2 linked regions of the Xenopus tropicalis genome follow. The protein of the gene in region 1 purifies or fractionates together with the protein of each later gene. This does not show direct contact. Links are inferred from orthologs where the notes say so. Each region holds a gene or a part of one and is shown in the gene's direction. Other genes may lie near its edges.

Region 1 (11,991 bases):
CAATACCAGTTATAAAACAATACCAGATCAATAGGAAACAAAAGATGTGTTTGTTTGGAGGACAGATAGCTATTTTGTCAAGTATGGGTTATTAGACCTGGAGAAAACTTTGCACCACTACATTTCCTACACCATTTGCTGGAAAGTATAAACTGATGCAAAATGGAAATTGTATATCTATTAAATGAGCTTCAGATACTTTTCTTCTGTGATAGTTTGGGTTAAGGTTTTGTGACTTTAGTTACTGCTAAACATGTTGCAAATACTTTTCATAGGTGCATAGTGGAGTGCCCACTTATATGAAAAGTGCTGCACAAGGGCATAACATATCCATGGGTGTTGGAGGACACTCTGGTAACATAAAGTATACTTTAGCGCACTATCATATACCAGCATAGAAATTGTTAATGTCATCACCATCAAAATGTACAATGAGAACAAGACAAAGTAAAAAGCAGTAAACATCCCAAACAGATTATACAGTGAGATGCAGCAGAATCCGTCACCCCAACCACATTATATACTGAGAGGTGCTGCCAGTACAGTACATGTTGGCACTACATGCACCGAAACAGTAAGACTGTGGATTCTTGCACCACAAGCAAATTATACAGTGAGAGGCAGTGGGTGCAGGCACCTAATGCATATTATATACAAAAAGAACCAGTTTTGACTGACGCCACAAGCACATTATATAAAGTTCTCTTAACGTACTCTTTTTTTTTTTCTTTACCAGAGTAAAAAAAGAGTAAAAGAGTATAACACATGTAATTCAGAGAATGATGTATATGGTTTGAAGTGCCCATGTGGTAAAATGTATGTGGGACAGACTATAAGGAAAGTAAGAATCAAAATTGGTGAACATAAGAGATCAGTGACTAAACACTTTTTTGAGCACAAACATAATAGTGCAAGTCTCAGGTGGCTGGTATTGGAACATGTAAGCTATTAAGCATTTTTTGTAAAATTACTAACTTTGCCTTTAATTTTCCAGAATGGACTTTTGAAATCTCATATGGACTTGTCTTGTATGACAGAGTAAGTAGGAGACGGATACCTGCTTTTTCGATATCTTGCTATATACACTATATACCCATGATACTAGTAGTTTGGTGCATTATCGGAGTAGACCAGTAGATGGCAATGCTCTGTATTGCTCTGAATTGGATGTATGTATTTCTATGAGTCTGGCCACATGATGGAGCTGACACACTTGTTGGCTTTGTGGGGTTTAAAGGTAATTTGGGTTATGGTACACTGTTGTAAAAGCACCTGATGAAGAATCAGTGGATCTGAAACATGTTTTGTGGTATAAAATAATAATCACAATTGATTGATTTGGTTCTCCGGAGTGCACTCTTTGCTGATTTGTGAATTTAGTGATCACATACTATAAATGCACCCAATATCTCAACAGCCATTTTACTGTCTAGAAAAGGATTAATCACTGGGGGTGCTAATATGTTAGGCTCCACCCAGTAATTAAATCACTGACCTCAGACCCTGGGTTGCTGCACTTCCTCGCTAAAAAATACAAGTGTGTCTATTGAGTGCTATGCCTCCATCAGGTTTGTGGACAGGTCCAGTACAGTAAAGTTTGTCTTAGTGTCTAAGTTCCAGTTTAACTCTACTGTACATGTGCACATCCCAGAATAGCACAAAAATACCGACACAACAGGACTTGTTTAAGCGTAATAAACCCTGCTGATTTTTAATAGTAGCAAACCATATAACGTTTCGGGGGCACACCCCTTCGCCCAAAACGTTATATGGTTTGCTACTATTAAAAATCAGCAGGATTTATCCCGCTTAAACAAGTCCTGTTGTGCTGATATTTTTGTGCTGTTTGGAAAGTGGTGGAGAGTGACGAAGTCTCTCTAAATACTGTGCACCAGGTGGAACAGAGTGGAAAGGCCAGAGTGTGCTGGTAAGTGTGGATTTGCACATCTCAGAATATCCACAAGGAATCCCTAATCAACTTTCCCATAAACATATACAGGTATGGGACCTGTTATCCAGAATGCTCGGGTTTTCTGGATAAGTGATCTTTCCCTAATTCGGATCTCCATAACTTAAGTCTGCTAAAAATCATTCAAATATTAAATAAAAAGATTGTTTTGCACCCCAATAAGGATCAATTATACTTTAGTTTGGATAAAGTACAAGGCACTGTTTTATAATTACAGAGAAAAAGGAAATTATTCTTAAAAATTAGAATTTGCTTATTAAGTCTATGGAATATGGCCTTTCTGGATAACGGGTTTCCAGATAATGGATCCCATACCTGTACTGAACATTTCCAGTGGTTTTAACACTATTTGTAAATAAAAAAGCAACTGAAAACTGCCCTTGCATCCCTTTCTGTTCTCCGGTTTCTAATGTTAAAATAATGTACAGGTACTGGATCCCTTATCCGGAAACCCGTTATCCAGAAAGCTCTGAATTACGGAATGGCCATCTCCCATATCCTTTTTCTCTGTAATTATAAAACAGAACCATGTACTTGATCCTAACTAATATATAGTTAATCCTTATTGTAGGCAAAACAAGCCTATTGAGTTTATTCAATATTTATATTATATTATATATTAAGTCTATAGACTTAAGTTATGTAGATCCATGGAAAGATCTCTTATCCGGAAAACCAATGGTCCAGAGCATTCTGGATAACAGGTTCCATACCTGTAATGGAAATAGCTTTCCCATAAAATCTGTAAGGCTAATGTCTGACGGTGAGATTAGTCACCCACAGTTAAATCTCTGCTAGCGTGGTCGACTAGTCTCCCTGAAATGCCTTTCCACCGGCAACAAAGTGAATCACTGGTGTAAAGGCATACGCATTGCTTTCTTTTTCTGAAGTGGTGCGAAGTTTCCTCCTGCAGGCAATTTCATGTGACTTCGGAAAATGAAGCGATGCATATGTCTGTCCATCAGTGATTCCCTTTATTGCTGGTGGAAAGGCATTTCAGGGAGATTAGTTGCCCTTGGCAGCCAAGACTACGGGTGACTTATCTCCCAGTGGGCCATGAGCCTTAATCAGCTTCTGCTACATTGTTTCAGGACTCAGAACCAACACTGCAGAGAATATAAACAACCTGACAGAAACAGCTTGCAGTAGAAATAACTCATAATAATTAATAACTTTAATACACCATTAATATATCAAAATATAATTCATATTATTAAAGGACATGTCAACCCCAAAAATAACTTTTTTCCTAATAAAAGAAAACATAATTCCAAGCAACTTTATTGAAAATGTTTAGTGCTTTAAAAGTTATTTGTAAATGTAATTTGCTGAACTCCTGGTTATGACTCCTTAAACAATGTTGCAGAGGTCAGTCTCCCTCTGCAAGACAGGTCTGTCAGTCTGTTGCCTTGTGTAAAGGTCCCCATACACGGGCCGACTATAGCTGCCGATATCGGTCCCTTGGACCGATTCGGCAGCTAATCGGCCCGTGTATGGGGAGAGCAGAGCAGCCTGGCCGACCGATATCTGGCCTGAAATTGGCCAGATCTCGATCGGCCAGGTTAGAAAATACAGTCGGATCGGGGACCACATCGGCTCGTTGATGCGGTCCCCGATCCGACTGCCCCATTGCCGCCCACATAATCCGATCGTTTGGCCCCAGGGCCAAACGATCGGATTATTTTTTTTTTTACCTAAATGCTCCCCGATATCGCCCACCCGTAGGTGGGGATATCGGGGGAAGATCTGCTCGTGTATGGCCACCTTTACATTGTTTCAAATGCCAGAGCCACCAAGGGCACAGAACAGAAAAAGACTGGAAAACACTACTTCTAATAGTAATTATATGTATGAATAAGTCAGAAACCATTGCAAATTTGTAATGAATATATATTGCAAAATGGCTTAGAATTATGTTTTTTTTTTTTATTAGGCAAAAAAATATAATTTGGGTTGACTTGCGCGTTAAAATATAATAAATGCATATTAAAAAACGGCTTAGAATTACTTTTTCATTAGGCAAAAGTGTTTGGTGTAGATTCCCTTTAAAATATAAATACATACTGTGTAATAATAATACTACATAGACTATTCAGGAAGTGAGCTCAGTGCTTTGCTCACTTACTCTGTGCAGGTAGGCTTATGAGGGAAGAGCTGGTGCAGGTACCCAGTAGAATCATGCTCAGGGCAGAGACTATAAGAAGCCAATAGGTGGAACAGCAACGGGGCCACAGCAACGTCATCGTGTTCATGCCAGGACTGCTTCCACCAGATTTGCTCTCTGGGCTTTTCCACCTCTTTTTTCGCCTCCACCGCCGTCTCCTGACTTCCTCTTTTCTTTCCAGCTCTGGGATCTGTATACAACTCCCTCACTCGATCTGTCTGGCACGATTCAGCCCCATCACATCCTGTAATGATCTCACTCCTAGCTAACAGCAGGACTGGTTCAATCTATATATTTAAAACCATGTATTTATTAACTACATAAAATAGCCCAACGCGTTTCCTATCAATGTTCTGAAGATGCCCCTGATTGAATCAGTCCTGCTTCTGCTTGCTAAAAACCCGATCCAGCTCCCTCCTCCCTGCTCTGTTGTGATTCTCTTGCTAGGAGAAGGAACAGTGTGATTGGCTGTAGGTGATCACATGGTACCAGGAATCACCAGGACAGGAAGAAGAACTGAACTGCTGCACAGAGGTGAAAGTTACTGCAGGCAGAACTGAAAGGTGGAAAAGGGATGATATGCATGTTATTTTGGACACACAAGTAGAACTGAAGCGTTATCCTGCTTGCTCCTTGGTATAATCTTCACTATTAGCACTTAACTGTTTAGGTGCTGGAGGGTGGAGAGGAAAGACACGTTGCTGCAAATTAACTGTGACATGCAAATGTAGAAGATGCACTGTGTAAGTAGGATCTGAGTGTGTGCAGCCATTTATTATTAGTATTGCACCATTGTGGTCTCTATATTTCACTTGCAGAGTGTCCTGTATACTTATATAGTATATAGTGTCCTTACACTGAGTTTGAGTGGATGTGTGGATCCACGTTTTGTTAGGGAACACCAAGCCATTGTGGGACCTCAAAAACAGTGTTCTCTTTAAAGGCAAACACCTGAATTTATTTATACTGGTTGATCACTGTATAACAAGGTACTGTAGTGTTAGCTATTAATGAAAGTTAAATAGTGCATCTTATAATTGTACTCTTACTTTATTAACTATGCAAATACACAAAAACATTAATCAATACAATTAAAATGTATTCGTAATGTTTCTTAATTACATTTGTAAATATGATCAGAGGCACTCTTATATCAGTCCTTTCTCCCTGAGGTGGAAGTACAACCAGCTATGTAAATAGTAGCTACCACCTTAAATGATGTGTTTTTACTGCTAAACCAGTTTATTATCTATGTGCATTTCACTTCTTAGCTACATATTTTTATGCAGTATATACGTTTATGATATATGCTTTTGTTGCACAAGATATATAGAATAAAATGCTGATTAATTATCTGTTGCAGGATTGTACTGATGACTGTAATTTATTTTGAATTGCTTTTGCAAATTGCAAATTTTGTTGCTGTTTTTTACACAGCATAAAGTTAACTTTTATTATGATGTAGAGAGTAATAGTCCAATATAATTTGCATTTGGTCTTCATTTTTAAATGCCTTTCCAATTGAGGGTGACATACAATGTTTCATCAAACTATTTACTATAGGTGTCCTTTTACAGAGATGACCTAGTAACTGCAGGTATTTGTCGCTCCTGGTTGCCCCATATGATGCAGATCTACAGTGCGTGACTTAGTAGCTACTGAAACAGAAAAAGTGTTTTTATGTAATGTTTTTATGTTAGAAACTAAAGCAAATTAAAAGATTGTTTCATGCCTACCTCCTTGGGTCTGTAGTTTCACAACACAAATAATATAATATCAAAAAATGTGGCAGTGATTTTTGGTTTACTAGTATAGCCCATTGTATGGCAGTTCTCTAAGGCAATAGGGTTTTTTGGGCCTTTTGTAAAGTCTGCCTGTCTAAGCCCAAGTGTATACCATTGTTTAAATATACTGTTAAAGTATTTTTTATAAATTTTGCTGTGTATGTGATGGGAAGATGGTTCCTTCTGATATCTTTGTTCCATGGTTGAAAATGTCATGTGCTGTTACACACTGTTAGTAGTGTACTAGTACTTGGTGCATCAATAGATGAAAACGTTAAAATGAACCTCTGTTTCAGTTCTGCTAGTCCGGCCTGATAAAACTTGACGATAGAAAAGTGGCTATGCCATAGTGTCAGTTAGTACAATACCTGTCCTTTTGGTTGAATATTGAGGAGGATTGCTCATTGTATGACCACCTTACTAACCTTTGTTTATTGTGGGAAAATAAATAGTTGTAAATTAGACAGTGGTACGCTTACTACAATGGTGCACTGCAGAGCATAATACTCTTACTCAGCTTTTACATGTTAAGACATTTACATAAGAATTTTTACAAAATATTCTTGTTAGTGAATTTCACTACAGCTATGAAAAAGCAATACAGGTATTGGACCTGTTATCCAGAATAGGAACTGTGATTTTCCGGATAAAGGGTGTTTCTGTAATTTGGATCTCCATACTTTGTCTACTGAAAAATCATTTAAACATTAAATAAACCCAATAGGATTGATTTGCCTCCAATAAGGATTCATTTTATCTTAGTTGGGATCAAGTACAAGGCACTGTTTTATTATTACAAAAGAAAAATAAATCATTTTTTATATTTTGATTTATTAAATTATGAGTCTAAATGGAGTCTATGGGGCAAACAAATCCCCCATATTTGCCAGAACCAAACTCAGTGAGCCAATCAATGAGGGAGGTCTGGGTCTCCTACACTGGTATCTATATTACCTTGTTTCACAGTTATACTACATCCAATGGTGGCTTAACCCAGACCCTTCGAATCCCAACTTCCCTCTCCAAGCCACAATAGTGAGCTCAATAGAGTCACTAACATATATCCCATTTTGCAAACCAGCAGATATCCAAACAACACACCCTATTCCAGCAAATATCACCATATAGAATTTGGCCCATATGGGGAATCCGTACACTGGGAGACATACAAGTAGGAGACACCCTGGCACTGAGGGACCAATTTAGACACTACCCAAGCAGTACTCCTATGGTACTCTTTATCTCCAACTACGGCATGCCCTCCAGGCACAATTTAGGAAAACCACACCACCCTCATCTATATCCAGAATAGAACTCACCGTTCGAAGCCCTACAACCAAAAAACTTACCACAACGCTATACGCTTCTCTCAACAGTTAGATCTCCATTTAGGACAGCCTACGCAATGTGGCATAGGGACTTCGAAGAGATAGATGATGATGACTGGGATAAAGCCACTGATAGGGCCCATGACTACCTTGTCTCAACTAGAGAAAGGCTGATACAGTTTAAGATCATACACAGACTCCATTTAACCCCTCTGAGATTATTCCGCATGAATAGGCGTGAATCACCCAAATGCCTGAAATGCAATGCTCCAGAGGCAAACTACATACATCTCATTTGGCAGTGCCAGACTATTCAATCCTATTGGACACAAGTAATGGATTACATCCAAGAAAAAAAAAACTCCCTCCCAAACCTCGTAACATCCAAGGTTTGCTACTGGGAGTGGTTAATGACCTTACCCCAACAGCTCATATAAGAACCTTATTTCAAAATCTACTGTTCTACGCTAGAAAATGTGTACTGCTACACTAGATGGCACAATCCCCTCCCACAATAGATAGATGGTTAAATCTCCTCAGAACGCTATTCCCCCTGATTCAACTTACACAGACTGCAAGGGGGTGTCCCCAGAAGTATGAAAAAATTTGTAGGAACTGGATAGAAGCTACTTAATTAATTTGACCCCCCCTTACAGCCTATGGGGCATTCTTCCCACTAGGATTACCAACCTAAACCAGGTCAAATGCTAATGTTATTGTACACGCTATCTTGTATAAACACAGTCCAGGACAACATGATGTAGAACCACATGATGTTTATAAGTGTTGTATGTTTTTATGTTTAAAAATGCAAATAAAAACCTTTAAAAAGTCTATAGGAGATGAACTTCCTGTAATTTGGAGCTTTCTGGATAACAGGTTTTCGGATAACTGATCCTATACCTGTACAATAAAGTATGTAATACACTTTAACTAGCCATGGGAAGGGTACGTGGGCAACATAATCTACATATTTCTGCCAAGCCTACTTCAATAACACAAAAACACACTTGATTAGCTAAACAGGAACAAAAAAAGACTTTTTATAGTTTCAGCCTAATATGACACTATTCTCTTGTTTTTCTGGCCTAAATACTTTTTAATATCTTGTTTGATATAATTTTAGGTATTGCCTTCAAAAATCAAATGATTATGCAAAATATATCTAGGGTAAGGGCACGCGGGCATAATGTCAGCCTGCAGATAAGCGGGTGTCCGGGTACAGGCACACGCAGCTGATATCCGCCAAACTTACGAGAGACTTGCCACTTACGGTATCCACAGACTGACAATATGCTCTTAACCTTAACAGTAAAATATATTTCTTTAAATGAAAAAAAAAGGTCATAGTTACTGTTGTGTTAAAATACAGATACAATAAAAACATATTTCTTATTTGAATGCATGTTTTTTTATTTGTAAAAGTAACAAAGTTTGCTTTTTTTCCCTCAGAATGTTACATACAGTGCTGAGCAAATATGGAGAGAAAACTCAATGTCAACAGAAAAAGTGGCAGCTGGAATTGCCTGCTTGTCCTCTTTCTAATGCTACTGTTCACAGTGGTTTCAGTTAACTTCTTGCTGTATATGTATATTGAACAAATCTATGCACCTTCTCAATTCAGCCATTCTGAACTGAACCTATGTCCTTATGGACACTTTAAGATAGCAACGATGAAAAATTGCTCACCGTGGCTGACTTGTGAGACTATTGAAAAAGAAGTCAGGAAGCTAAAGCTTGTTGGTGAAGGAGCAGTTAAAAAGGTAAGTTTCAAAACGTGACAAAAGTAATATATACTTCTAGAATAGCTGCGACCAATATAATGGCAGCTACAAGCTTTAATTCTATTCCAAAGTGGGAATACTTCTGCATATTAAAGTGTTTTTGGACTATTCTGTGTAATGTAACAACATATTTACAACTTTAGAAAGTGCTTTATACATTTTTCTGTTGAATTAAAATAAATAAAATAGGTTAGGTAGGTAATACAACATGATTTGCACTGTAATTTATAGCATAAGAGTAACCCACCCTAAGTCTGGTGCAAAATATAGATCAGCACCCCTAAGATTACATAGGAGAAATCATTACAGGCACACCGACTGAATGCAATTGGGAATAACCACTGCATATTTAATCAAATGTAATATTTTAGGAACACAGCCCTTCATCAGAAATAATGTTTAATTAAATATACATGGCTTATCCCTGCTTGCATTGAGTCTTAAGTGCTGGTAAGTTTTCTTCTACACTGTATGGTGTGTTCTACTTGCCATTAGGTAACATCCTGGGAATATGTGCCTGTAGTTAGATTGAAGATGCACTACATACATGACACCTGTATTGCTGTGGTCCTGTTTAGAATAATACTAAACAGACTCTCTAATTTAAACTATATTCATAGTTTCCAGGCAATTTAAGGGCAGCATATTCGTATTTTGATACATCTCTCGTCTTCAGACATTCTCTGTAGACACCTATAAAAGCAACTTTTATATGAAAGCAAAGGTATTTTTTATGTAGTTTTCTATGGGGCACTGGCTTCCATGCATTCTGTCTCCTGCCTTTCACAGTTGCTTACTGGCCCTTGCTAAGTGTGTTGGGGAAATATACCACCAACTGTAATACATGGCAGCTCCAAAGCAGTAGAGCATATGTATAAGTTCATTGGAACCCATGCAGAAAACTTTAGAGTGCACCTGAAGCAACAAAGAGTGAGTTTCTTTTCTGAAGTGTGCTCTGTTGATTTTTGGTTCCCATTCATTTCAGGTATTTTTGTCTGAGTGGAAGGGCATGAAAGTTGCTCTTTCAGAATTAAAATCGCTAGATCTGCAGGATGATTTCCTCCATGGATTAAGGATGCTGCAGTCACTGCAAAGCAGAAATGTTGTGGTCCTTGTTGGATATTGTAAAGAGACATTTAGCATACTGACTGAATATCACCCACTTGGTTCCTTGAAAGACTTGGACAAAACTTTTAGTTTTCCTAAATACCAAGGCTTCAACACGTGGCAGAATCGCCTTAAACTTGCAATGGAGTATGTTAGCATCATTAACTATCTTCATACTAGCCCCCATGGCACTCTGGTCATGTGTGATTCCAATGATTTGGACAAGGTACTGTCTCAATACATGCTGACAAGTGACTTTCATGTAGTAGCTAATGATCTTGATGCTTTGCCTGTAGTGGACAGGGAAAATGGCATTTTGGTCAAGTGTGGCCAAAGGGAAATAACTGGACATTTTGTTGCTCCTGAACAGTTGTGGCCCTATGGGCCAAATGTTGAATTCTCAAATGACATAATGCCTTCATATGATGAGAAGACTGATATTTGGAAGATTCCAGCTGTGACTGATCACCTTTTGGGTCATGTGCAAGGAAGTGACATTGTTAGGTTCCATCTGTTCGACATCCACTCTGAGTGTGGTAAAAATAACCCATCTGAAAGACCTTCAACTCAGATGGTGTTAGACACCTACAAGAGAGTCTTGGCTTTATTAATGAAAGAGATGGCAGTGGCAGAAACTCGAGAGATGTTATAAAGTAATATTAGACCACATTTAACGTAAGAATTTCAGTAGAACTGTTTTGTGCTCCAGTAGTAGAAAATACACAAGAGAAGTTACACACTATGGGGCAGATTTACAAACTTCTGCTATAGGAATCATTTTCTACATTAATACTAATTTTTAGTAACGCAGAAAATTATTTTTCTCATTAAGTCTCCCATAGACAAGTGTCATTAAAACTATTGCAGTGTTTATTTTTATCAGAGAATCACTTTGATCAAGTGCACTGACACAGAGCTTTCTAACATACAATAGTACAGTGCTGTCCAACTTCTATGGTGCCGAGGGCCGGAATTTCTCTAGCATACATGGTGGAGGGCCGCTAATGGAAGCCAGTTTTGACCACTCCCCTTTTTGAAACCACACCCACTTCAAACCACACCTATTTTATCACAATGGTGGTAGCACAGCAAAATCCCAAATGCTTGGTCCTTACAGTGGGGATATCAACCATCATTCATATGTGAAAGAATTATGTCATATTAAGATATACCCTTAAATTCCATATGCCTCCTCCTCCCCTGTGGATAGCAGAGCAACCCCCAGTACATAATTACACACCTTAGGGACCATTTAATGGCTATTTCCAACTGCTAGCAAACTCCCACAACAAACCCCTGCCAGGTTCACCTCCCACAAGCAGCATAGGGCTGCCATACTCTGCCTGTCCTACCCTGCCTGTGTGTGCCATACTCTGCCTGTCCTACCCTGCCTGTGTGTGCCATACTCTGCCTTCCCTATGCTGCCTCTGTGTGCCATACTCTGCCTTCCCTATGCTGCCTCTGTGCCATACTCTGCCTGCCCTACCCTGCCTGTGTGTGCCATACTCTGCCTGCCCTACCCTGCCTGTGTGTGCCATACTCTGCCTGTCCTACCCTGCCTGTGTGTGCCATACTCTGCCTTCCCTATGCTGCCTCTGTGTGCCATACTCTGCCTTCCCTATGTTGCCTCTGTGCCATACTCTGCCTGCCCTACCCTGACTGCCCTACCCTGACTGTGTGTGCCATACTCTGCCTGCCCTACCCTTCCTGTGTGTGCCATACCCTGGAAATCAAATATGAAGATAGGCAGGCACTCCGAATTATTTGTTGCAAATGTAGAAAAATGCAGCCAGTAGAAATTAATTAAGTTAAAAAAGTATAAATTTTATTTTATCCATATGTAAAAACAAATAGC
Region 2 (11,208 bases), on another chromosome or scaffold:
AGCAGGTTTCAGTCTGCATCATAAGCTGCACAAATAACACTGATACTAACAACATCCTTTTATTCTTTACCTGTCCCTTTTCACAGAGCATGACCGTAGTGGCAAGCACCGTCCCCAACCAGAATATAGACATGCAGCCGTACGATTTGAGCATCGATGTCTACAGTCGCCTGATTTACTGGACCTGCGAAGCCACCAATGTCATCAACGTCACGCGGCTGGACGGGAGAGCCATCGGGGTGGTTCTAAAGGGAGAACAAGACCGTCCCAGAGCTATCCTTGTGAATCCAGAGAGAGGGTAGGAAATACAGAACTTTATCTACGCATAGTTTATTCTTTTTCCCTGATCTACAATCAGGTCTGTGGTGGTGGGTACCTACAGAACCACCCACAAGATGGTTTGTTTTGGGGCACAGCTGCACTCACCCGCAATTTTCTGTGGTGCAAAGTCTTCTAGATGTATGGCAACGCCCCAACAATGTATAGAACAAAGCAGAAATAGAGACTGCACTCAAGCAAAATTTCAGCTGAGGAGCTTACCCCATTGCCAATGTACCATAAAAATAATCAACGTTTCGGGGTGGGGGGGCGCTCCCTCCCTTCGTCAGCATAACCACAGTTTTTTAAAAAGTCAGATACAAAAAAGACCAATATAAATAAATAAATATAAATTTCTGCAGAAGTCCGTTCTTACAGTATAAATGTCAGTTGTTTGTGAAAAAGTTCAGCCATGGTCGGACTGGGCCACCGGGACACCGGTAAAAATCCCGGTGGGCCCCAGCGGCCCAGACCCAACCCTTGTGGCGCTCCCCCTGCACGACCGCTCCTGTCCCCACGTGTTAAATTTACGCGCTCGGGGAAGAACGTCAGGTGGGGGAACCTGCGAGGGGGGTTAGGGGGGCCCCTCCAGGGGGGGGGAGGCTATGGGCGTTGGCCATATGGGCAGGCTATGGGCACGGGCCCCGGTGGGCCCTTCACCCCCCAGTCCGACCCTGAGTTCAGCACCCTGAGTTCAAAAACAAAAAATGACCAATATAAATTTGTCTGTTTTGGGGCAGATCTGCCTTGATTTCCTGACTGTGTGGGTAGTTTCTTTGCTTATGGAGTTGGGATATGGTGTATAATTTGAAAAAATTAAATATTGTGAACCATTTACACTTCCAGGTTAATGGGCCGGTAGGGGTTCTGAACCAGCTTTGCATTGAAACTCCCATTTGCTTTGATCTTCTAGGTACATGTATTTCACCAACCTCCAGGAGCGATCGCCAAAAATCGAAAGAGCTGCTCTTGATGGGACAGAGCGAGAGGTGCTGTTTTTCACCGGCCTGAGCAAACCAGTGGCGCTTGCGCTCGACAACAAAATGGGGAAACTTTTCTGGGCCGACTCTGACTTGAGGAGGATCGAAAGCAGTGACCTATCCGGTAAAGTGCGAGAATAGCGAATTTATAGGACTAAAACTGAAAATGACAGTTATGAGTTCTAGTATGGTTCCGTTCTGTGGTCTAGTACCAACTTAATGGGAAAGTAAGAATGCTGTGTGATTTTAATCACATGCTTTCCGTTTGGATAGAGTGATTCCTACTTCATTCATTGTTCCAAGTGCATTTATTACATATTTTTTTTGCATACCTAGTTTTGATCGTTACAGTAAAATGGCCTTTAATTATGTTATTGGTCAACGCTTACACTGCTCTCTGGTACTTTCCAGGTGGCCATCGCATAGTTCTAGAAGATTCTAACGTGCTGCAGCCAGTCGGACTCACTGTTTTTGGCAATCACCTGTATTGGATTGACCGGCAACAACAAATGATTGAGCGCATTGAGAAAACCGGACGCGTGGGTCGCACCAAGATCCAAGCTCGTATCCCTCTGCTGACTGATATCCATGCTGTGACAGAACTGAGCATGGACGAATACAGTTAGTATCCACTTATTAATACTAATTTCCTTTTCTGTAGATACGTTTTGGAGTTGCTAAGCAACAACCACTTCAAATATTAGAATTATTTAGTAAAATTACAAATCTTGGGGTATTAAGCTTTGAAATTTGGAATCATGGCCTTGTTTTCTCATTGTTCTTTTCCCTTTTCTGTTTTAACAGAGGAACACCCTTGTTCCCAGGATAACGGGGGCTGCTCCCACATCTGCATAGTGAAAGGAGATGGAACCACCCGCTGTTCTTGCCCGATGCACCTTGTCCTTCTGCAGGAAGATGAGTTGTCCTGTGGGGGTGAGTGCTGTGTAGATTTATTTTGTATTACTGCTAATCATATATATATAGAATCTCAGCCATAAAGCAGGGCAGGACTGCTGCTTACAATGGGGGGATCAGATAGGATCTGTGCCACTGTGACAGAATGTTCTGTTATACAGATAGCTAGAATCTCAGCCATAAAGCAGGGCAGGACTGCTGCTTACAATGGGGGGATCAGATAGGATCTGTGCCACTGTGACAGAATGCTCTGTTATACAGATAGCTAGAATCTCAGCCATAAAGCAGGGCAGGACTGCTGCTTACAATGGGGGGATCAGATAGGATCTGTGCCACTGTGACAGAATGCTCTGTTATACAGATAGCTAGAATCTCAGCCATAAAGCAGGGCAGGACTGCTGCTTACAATGGGGGGATCAGATAGGGTCTGTGCCACTGTGACAGAATGCTCTGTTATACAGATAGCTAGAATCTCAGCCATAAAGCAGGGCAGGACTGCTGCTTACAATGGGGGGGATCAGATAGGATCTGTGCCACTGTGACAGAATGCTCTGTTATACAGATAGCTAGAATCTCAGCCATAAAGCAGGGCAGGACTGCTGCTTACAATGGGGGGGGGATCAGATAGGATCTGTGCCACTGTGACAGAATGCTCTGTTATACAGATAGCTAGAATCTCAGCCATAAAGCAGGGCAGGACTGCTGCTTACAATGGGGGGGATCAGATAGGATCTGTGCCACTGTGACAGAATGCTCTGTTATACAGATAGCTAGAATCTCAGCCATAAAGCAGGGCAGGACTGCTGCTTACAATGGGGGGGGATCAGATAGGATCTGTGCCACTGTGACAGAATGCTCTGTTATACAGATAGCTAGAATCTCAGCCATAAAGCAGGGCAGGACTGCTGCTTACAATGGGGGGATCAGATAGGATCTGTGCCACTGTGACAGAATGCTCTGTTATACAGATAGCTAGAATCTCAGCCATAAAGCAGGGCAGGACTGCTGCTTACAATGGGGGGATCAGATAGGATCTGTGCCACTGTGACAGAATGCTCTGTTATACAGATAGCTAGAATCTCAGCCATAAAGCAGGGCAGGACTGCTGCTTACAATGGGGGGGGATCAGATAGGATCTGTGCCACTGTGACAGAATGCTTTGTTATACAGATAGCTAGAATCTCAGCCATAAAGCAGGGCAGGACTGCTGCTTACAATGGGGGAATCAGATAGGATCTGTGCCACTGTGACAGAATGCTCTGTTATACAGATAGCTAGAATGTCAGCCATAAAGCAGGGCAGGACTGCTGCTTACAATGGGGGGATCAGATAGGATCTGTGCCACTGTGACAGAATGCTCTGTTATACAGATAGCTAGAATCTCAGCCATAAAGCAGGGCAGGACTGCTGCTTACAATGGGGGGATCAGATAGGATCTGTGCCACTGTGACAGAATGCTCTGTTATACAGATAGCTAGAATCTCAGCCATAAAGCAGGGCAGGACTGCTGCTTACAATGAGGACCCTCAAAGCTATACAACCCCATGATACTGTGTTCTTTTCTGATTCCACTGCCAGAGGCTTCTGTTGTAACCGGCCGGCTCTTCGCCCTGGGTCACATTTGCTCTATTTTGCTTGTAGGTTACTAGAGGTCAGAGCACTCAATGAAAGTCATTGTTTGTGTAACAGAATATTAGTGCCTGTGCTAGGCCATTAAGGGATTAGATTCTGTCTGTTATAGTATTCAGGCCATACGGTAACTGCAAAAACACACCCTGTTTGTTTTTATATAAGGTTTGTCTTCTGGTTTCTTTCATTGATACAAAATTGGGTACAGGGTATTGCTACTATACGCAGAATTACCCAGAGAAAGCATGTGTGTGCATTTCCGCTTTCTGACACTGCCATCTAGTGGTTACAATTGGGACATCCAATCCTGTGGCTATATTTTGATTTTTTTTATGTGTCTATTCTTTGCGTATATCTAGATGTACCCTAAAATGTTATTAAGTGGGTATAACATAATTTCCTTTATTTTCCCCACAGAGCCTCCTACCTGCTCTCCCCTGCAGTTCACCTGTTTCACCGGCGAGGTTGATTGCATCCCGGCGGAATGGCGCTGCGACGGCTTTACAGAATGCGAGGATCACAGCGACGAGCAGAACTGCCCCATGTGCTCGGACACGCAGTACCAGTGCGCCAGCGGCCAGTGCATTGACTCCTCTCTGCGCTGTAACGGAGAAGCCAACTGTCAGGACAAGTCTGATGAGAAAAACTGCAATGGTACGGGCTTGCTTCTGAAAATGGTTTTATTCAGACATTCATTTGTTGGTGTTTGAATCCCCCCCCTTATATGCATTGAAGAGTTTGTGAAAGCACTCTTAAAAGAGGCCTGTTGGGAAAAGAAAGTGGGGTTCATTTATTAACACTGGGCAAATTTGCCCATGGGCATTAGCTCATGGCAACCAATGAAATTGTTGCATTCATTGTTGTATATGCAGCTGGCTGAAAAAAGCCAGTCACTGATTGGTCGCTATGGGTTACTACCCACGGGCAAATTTGCCCAGTGTTGATAAATGAGCCCCAGTGTCTTTTAGGGTGAAGACGCACGGAGCTACTAGTAGCATCTACTTGTCGTGGCTACTAAAATAGACAATGCTGATCATTTACTGATAATTGTCTGTACTTGTGTTTTAGCAGAGGCAATTCTCAGTATTGTCTATGGCAGGGGATTTTCTGGCTTTTAGTAGCCATGGCAAGTAGCTGCTACTAAGTAGCTCTGTGTGTCTTTACCCCTAAGGTACCAGTGATGTGAAATGAATAAGCTAAGTTGACACACTGAACCAGTCAATTATGAAGGCTGCTAATAATGAAGATGCTTTTTCTGGTCTTTCTGCAGAAGTCTGTGCTCCAGACCAGTTCCACTGTGGCAGCGGACAGTGCATCGGGAAGCACAGGCGTTGTGACCTCAGCCCGGACTGCAGTGACAGCTCAGACGAGCAAGCTTGCTGTAAGTGCTGCTATTATAACTGCTGGCCTAAGTTTCAGTAATAAAGTTGTCAGCAAAAAGTCATATAGTGTGTGTGTTCTGTTACAAACCTGGCATGTCACATTCGGGGTCCTGCAGAGATTTGGGACTTGTATTTAAGGGTGAAGAGACACGGAGCTAATGTAGCAGCTACTTGTCGTGGCTACTAAAACAGACAATGCTGATCATTTACTGATAATTGTCTCTACGTGTGTTTTAGCAGAGGCAATTCTCAGTATTGTCTATGGCAGGGTATTTTCTGGGGTTTAGTAGCCGTGACAAGTAGCTGCTACTAAGTAGCTGTGTGTCTTTACCCTAAAAGTTGCATGGGAGTCTCAAGCTTGCCATTGCACTTTAGCACCCCTGAAGGGTGAAGACACCCAGTAGCCCTAGTAGCAGCTACTTGTCGTGGCTACTAAAATAGACAATGCTGATCATTTACTGATAACTGTCTCTACATGTGTTTTAGCAGAGGCAATCCTCTGTATTGTCTATGGCAGGGGATTTTCTGGTGCTTAGTAGGTGTGAAAAAGTAGCTGCTTCTAGTAGCTCTGTGTGTCTTCACCCTTTAGATGTTGATGTGCAACTATCAGCATCAGCCAAATATTGCCATGATATTCTGGGAGTTGTATTTGAACCTTTGCCTTGATGCAAGCTGTGCATACCTCTCCTAATCTGCAAGGCTAAAGGCTCTCTCCAGGCCTACTCTTCAACTCTCCACACAATTTATTTTACATTTTCCAGATCCCACAGAGGAACCACCTCCTCCATCGACCAACACCATCGGCTCCATCATCGGCGTGATCCTCACCGTATTCGTAGTAGGGGGAGTGTATTTTATCTGTCAGCGAGTGCTGTGTCGTCGCATGAAAGGAGACGGGGAGACCATGGCCAACGATTATGTGGTGCATGGACCCGCCTCCGTCCCCTTAGCATACGTGCCACATCCGAGCTCCCTGACTGGATCCTTGCCTGGTGAGTACAGAGCCGGTGACTCCAGCACCAAAATGCCTGCTGTTTATTTTCCAAGATGGTACTCTTTCCATTTAGATACAATAAATATAATGCTGAATGCTCTTGTACAGGTATAGGACCTGTTATCCAGAATGCTCGAGACCAAGGGTATTCCGGATAAGGGGTCTTTCCGTAATTTGTATCTTCATACCTTAAGACTACTAAAAAAATCAATAAAACATAAATTAAACACAATAGGATTGTTCTGCCCCCAATAAGGGGTAATTATATCTTAGTTGGGATCAAGTACAGGTACTGTTTTATTATTACAGAGAAAAGGGAATCATTTAACCATTAAATAAACCCAATAGGGCTGTTCTGCCCCAATAAGGGGTAATTATATCTTAGTTGGGATCAAGTACAGGTACTGTTTTATTATTACAGAGAAAAGGGAATCATTTAACCATTAAATAAACCCAATAGGACTGTTCTGCCCCAATAAGGGGTAATTATATCTTAGTTGGGATCAAGTACAGGTACTGTTTTATTATTACAGAGAAAAGGGAATCATTTAACCATTAAATAAACCCAATAGGGCTGTTCTGCCCCAATAAGGGGTAATTATATCTTAGTTGGGATCAAGTACAGGTACTGTTTTATTATTACAGAGAAAAGGGAATCATTTAACCATTAAATAAACCCAATAGGGCTGTTCTGCCCCAATAAGGGGTAATTATATCTTAGTTGGGATCAAGTACAGGTACTGTTTTATTATTACAGAGAAAAAGGAAATCCGTTTCAAATTTCTAAATTATTATGATTAAAATGGAGTCTATGGGAGACCGGATTTCCATAATTTGGAGCTTTCTGGATAACAGGTTAAGGGATCCCATGCCTGTATTGACTGCCAGTCCATGCAGGAACCTGCTTGTAATGGATCATTTCCTCCACTCGCAGGTTTTTTTGTTATGAGGCCTTTCATGTGGTTTTGTGCATTCTCCAGCTCACATACAAAGTTAAACAGAAATAAATCTAGGGGTGGGGATAAAAAAAAAAAAGATCCCCTGCAGCTTGGCTCCTTGCGATGATTCCTTCTCGCCCCTTTGTTGTGGGGTTTTTATCCTCCCGCTGCCTTTAATGCGAGGATGCAGCAAAGTTTCCAGTTCTTCTATTAAACAGCGAGAGCATCTTGTTGCATTGTGTGCGCAGCAGTGTCATGTAACAGCTGCGGGCCATTGTGGGAAGAGATCACAGAGCTGTACTTTCCATGGGCCATTCATTAGTAGAAAGCCATTAAACTCTGTTGAAACCAGCTTAAGTAACAGGGATCCAACCGCTGCGCCAGATGAGGGTGAAATACAAAGGGGTGTTGCAGTTTAACAATGCAGTGATGAATCATTTCTAAGGTCTGCTGATGCAGAAAGCACTTATCTAAGCACTCTCTTGCTTAACACAGGGATGTCTCGTGGGAAATCTGTTATCAGCTCTCTCAGCATTATGGCTGGAAGCAGCGGGCCACCGTATGACCGGGCTCATGTGACCGGAGCCTCATCCAGCAGCTCCTCCAGCACTAAAGGAACCTATTTCCCACCGGTAGGTATCCAGCTGCCGTGTTTCCTACCCCATACGGTGTTTATACATAAACAGAAGATGTTCCATAAACCTGAATATTCTTTTCCTTTGGTTATAGATCTTGAACCCACCTCCCTCCCCAGCCACGGAGCGTTCCCATTACACAATGGAATTTGGTTACTCCTCAAACAGTCCTTCCACCCACAGATCATACAGGTGAGTGCATTTTTTACTCCAGTCCCCCCCCCACAGTATCTAGAAGGCCCTGCTGTAGGCTGCTACTAGAGAGGGACTTTTTTTCTACAACTGGCTGCTTCTTTGTTGCTGGGGCAGTCTCAGCTCAGCTTGGGGCTATTCATATATATATCTAAGTCCCTGTGTGTTTCGAGCACTAACAGTGCTCTTCTTCAGGGAAAAAACAGTTTTTCCCTGAAGAAGAGCGCCGTTAGTGCTTGAAACGTCGGATCTTTTTCAATAAATACTTTTTTTTTTTTTTTTTTTTTTTTTGCAAAGTCCCAGTGTGTGCGGCCCTCTGCTTTTGCCAGCACCCAGGGATTTGGATTCTCTGGATGGTGTGCTCCGTTTGTTCCTGTGTATATATACACAAACGATCGAGTTGTAACGACCGTGGGAGTGAATCCAAAACATGTGTATTGGAGACACACTGTGCACTACCCCATGTGTATTGGAGACACACTGTGCACTACCCCATGTGTATTGGAGACACACTGTGCACTACCCCATGTGTATTGGACACACACTGTGCACTCCCCCATGTGTATTGGAGACACACTGTGCACTACCCCATGTGTATTGGAGACACACTGTGCACTACCCCATGTGTATTGGACACACACTGTGCACTCCCCCATGTGTATTGGAGACACACTGTGCACTCCCCCATGTGTATTGGAGACACACTGTGCACTACCCCATGTGTATTGGACACACACTGTGCACTACCCCATGTGTATTGGAGACACACTGTGCACTCCCCCATGTGTATTGGAGACACACTGTGCACTCCCCCATGTGTATTGGACACACACTGTGCACTACCCCATGTGTATTGGAGACACACTGTGCACTACCCCATGTGTATTGGACACACACTGTGCACTACCCCACATCACATAAGGTCCCCATACACCTTAAGACGCCAAGCGAGCGGATCTTCTCCCGATATACCCCACCTACGGGTGGGCGATATCGGGAGAATCCGGGCTAATTTGATTGTTTGGCACTGGGGCCAAACAATCAAATTATAACGACGGGTATAGGCAAAGTCGGTTCAGGGACTGCATCAGCGAGCCGATGCGGTCCTCGATCCGACTAAAGTTTTAAACCTGCCCGATTTCAGGCCAGATATCAGTCAGACAGGCCCGTCGTTAGTGCCCCTACACGGGGCGATAAACTGCCGAATCGGTCTAAGGGACCCATATCGGCAGCTAGAATCGGCCTGTGTATGGGGACCTTAACATGTCAAAATCATTATATTCCTGGGGATAAAAAGCAGTCTGCTATATTTCCTAATGTTTCTCTTTCTTCCTCAGCTACAGACCCTACAGCTACCGGCATTTTGCCCCTCCTACAACTCCCTGCAGCACCGACGTGTGCGACAGCGACTACACCCCCAGCCACCGGATCACCTCCGCCGCGGCGAAGGGCTACACCAGCGATCTCAACTACGACTCGGAACCGGTGCCTCCGCCTCCAACCCCCCGCAGCCAGTACCTTTCAGCCGAGGAGAACTACGAAAGCTGCCCGCCCTCTCCCTACACGGAACGAAGCTACTCTCACCACCTTTACCCCCCTCCTCCGTCACCTTGTACAGACTCTTCCTGAGACCCCCCCACTCTGTAAATACTGTATGAAGAGAGAGTACTTTCCCAATCTAACCCCCCGGCCCCCGTTGTGTATAGTTTCCAGAACCATGAACCCCTCCAGAGGAGGGCAGAAGGGTCTCCGACAATGGACGTTTGTACAGAGACGATAAAAAAAAAAACAACAAATATTTATATTTTCTTAACCCTTTTTACACCTCTTCATACTTGTGCCATAAATGTAACGCTTATATTTCCATCCTTCCCCGGAAAGGGCAATCCCCTTGCCTTTTTGTGTGGAAGAAATCCCATGACCACTGAAACAGTAATTTGTACAAATATATATATATATATATATATCTCTATATAAATATCTATTTTTGCAAATGGAATACACAAAATGCCTTAAATAGACGGATAGGATAGGAAGAGGTCTTTAATACCAAAAAAAAAAAAAAATGCACGTGAGCACAGACCAGCGGATTTTAGAGAATGGTTCTTAATTGTTTTTATTTTTTTTTTAACCCTTTCTTTCCTCCATTCGACTGGTGCCAAGCTTAGGCGCAGAGCAAGCCTGCCCCCTCTTGGCGGTTATGGGGATAACATGGAATCTCTGCTACATGAAAGCCCAGTAGCTTCACTGGTCCCTTATCCCACCATATTAAATTACATTTTACTCCAGCTGCCCCTTAAAAGCCTGTATGCCTGCCCTGTATCCAGGTATCAATATACCTGGATACAGGGCAGACATACAGGCTTGTACTGTGGCTATATGGGAGTGCATCAAGCTGACTTGGGCTTGTATAATTGATTGAGTGGCAACAATAATTGTTTAATTTGTGTATTTTATTTTATGATTTTATCTTTGACTTGAGGGCCAAAGAAGGTTGCTAGAAAGATTTTTTAGCAGCCAGCCGTTTGATTCTTCCCCCCCCGACCACGTAACCACTACAGTGTAGCCGTACCACTACCACAAAGCGCTACCGATACCACTAAACCGCCCCAAGGGGGCGCTACTGGGAAGACAATAGAGGTGATCGTGTCTTCATTATCAGTTCATCACCAAAGTAGTTTTTTTTTATTTTATTTAACCTTCCTACTGCTAGATGCGGGCTAGCGGCCTCTGGCAGCAGAAGGGTTAAGTCTGTTTTTATCTTTGTTTTATACTGTATTGTATTTATAAAACGTAATTGTAACTTGTGGGGTATTTTTTTTTTTTTTTTTTTAACTTCCATTTTTGTTTATGGAGAATATATCCTTGCAGTACTTTGACGTAATTAACTACCACTATACAGGGTTCATGCACTTTCTGTGCTGTTTTCTAGTAGCAGGGGCACTTGTTGTGCGACTGCAGCTCCCTGCGTGCCGTCGAAGGTCTGCCCTGGGGGGGCGGCGGGGTGCTTGAAGTTGCCCCTGGGCTTCATACCATTCCTTAAAGACACATAATGGCTCAGAAAGAAGTAAGCATGTGTCCTCTTTAATTTAAAGTGATAGCGACACCATTTATTAGCAATGTATCCTCTCACTAGTGTCTTAGTACTTGGGTTCTAGCCTGGGGGGGTCGGCATTTAGCCCACCCCCCCAAGCACGACTTCATGTAGTGAGACATAGGGGGGTA

Evidence for each region.
Region 2: the proteins of pomk (region 1) and lrp6 purify together in Homo sapiens (affinity purification with mass spectrometry; 3 studies listed by BioGRID and IntAct, counting the BioPlex papers as one, with this or other methods). This does not show direct contact. The link is inferred for Xenopus tropicalis from reciprocal best matches to the Homo sapiens genes POMK and LRP6.

Annotation. Positions count from the first base shown.
Region 1 is NC_030677.2:96,028,496-96,040,486, reverse strand, and holds pomk (protein O-mannose kinase), read left to right. Parts: upstream 1-4,579; 5' UTR 4,580-4,667; intron 4,668-4,788; exon of another isoform or gene 4,789-4,876; intron 4,877-8,697; 5' UTR 8,698-8,723; coding exon 8,724-9,008; intron 9,009-10,014; coding exon 10,015-10,788; 3' UTR 10,789-10,963; downstream 10,964-11,991. Other genes in the region: hgsnat (heparan-alpha-glucosaminide N-acetyltransferase), read right to left, coding at 4,095-4,221. UniProt on the Homo sapiens protein: Protein O-mannose kinase that specifically mediates phosphorylation at the 6-position of an O-mannose of the trisaccharide (N-acetylgalactosamine (GalNAc)-beta-1,3-N-acetylglucosamine (GlcNAc)-beta-1,4-mannose) to generate phosphorylated O-mannosyl trisaccharide (N-acetylgalactosamine-beta-1,3-N-acetylglucosamine-beta-1,4-(phosphate-6-)mannose).
Region 2 is NC_030679.2:8,211,732-8,222,939, reverse strand, and holds part of lrp6 (low-density lipoprotein receptor-related protein 6), read left to right. Parts: intron 1-86; coding exon 87-298; intron 299-1,231; coding exon 1,232-1,422; intron 1,423-1,709; coding exon 1,710-1,919; intron 1,920-2,102; coding exon 2,103-2,231; intron 2,232-4,259; coding exon 4,260-4,496; intron 4,497-5,112; coding exon 5,113-5,223; intron 5,224-5,985; coding exon 5,986-6,216; intron 6,217-7,651; coding exon 7,652-7,788; intron 7,789-7,885; coding exon 7,886-7,983; intron 7,984-9,320; coding exon 9,321-9,612; 3' UTR 9,613-11,208. UniProt on the Homo sapiens protein: Component of the Wnt-Fzd-LRP5-LRP6 complex that triggers beta-catenin signaling through inducing aggregation of receptor-ligand complexes into ribosome-sized signalosomes.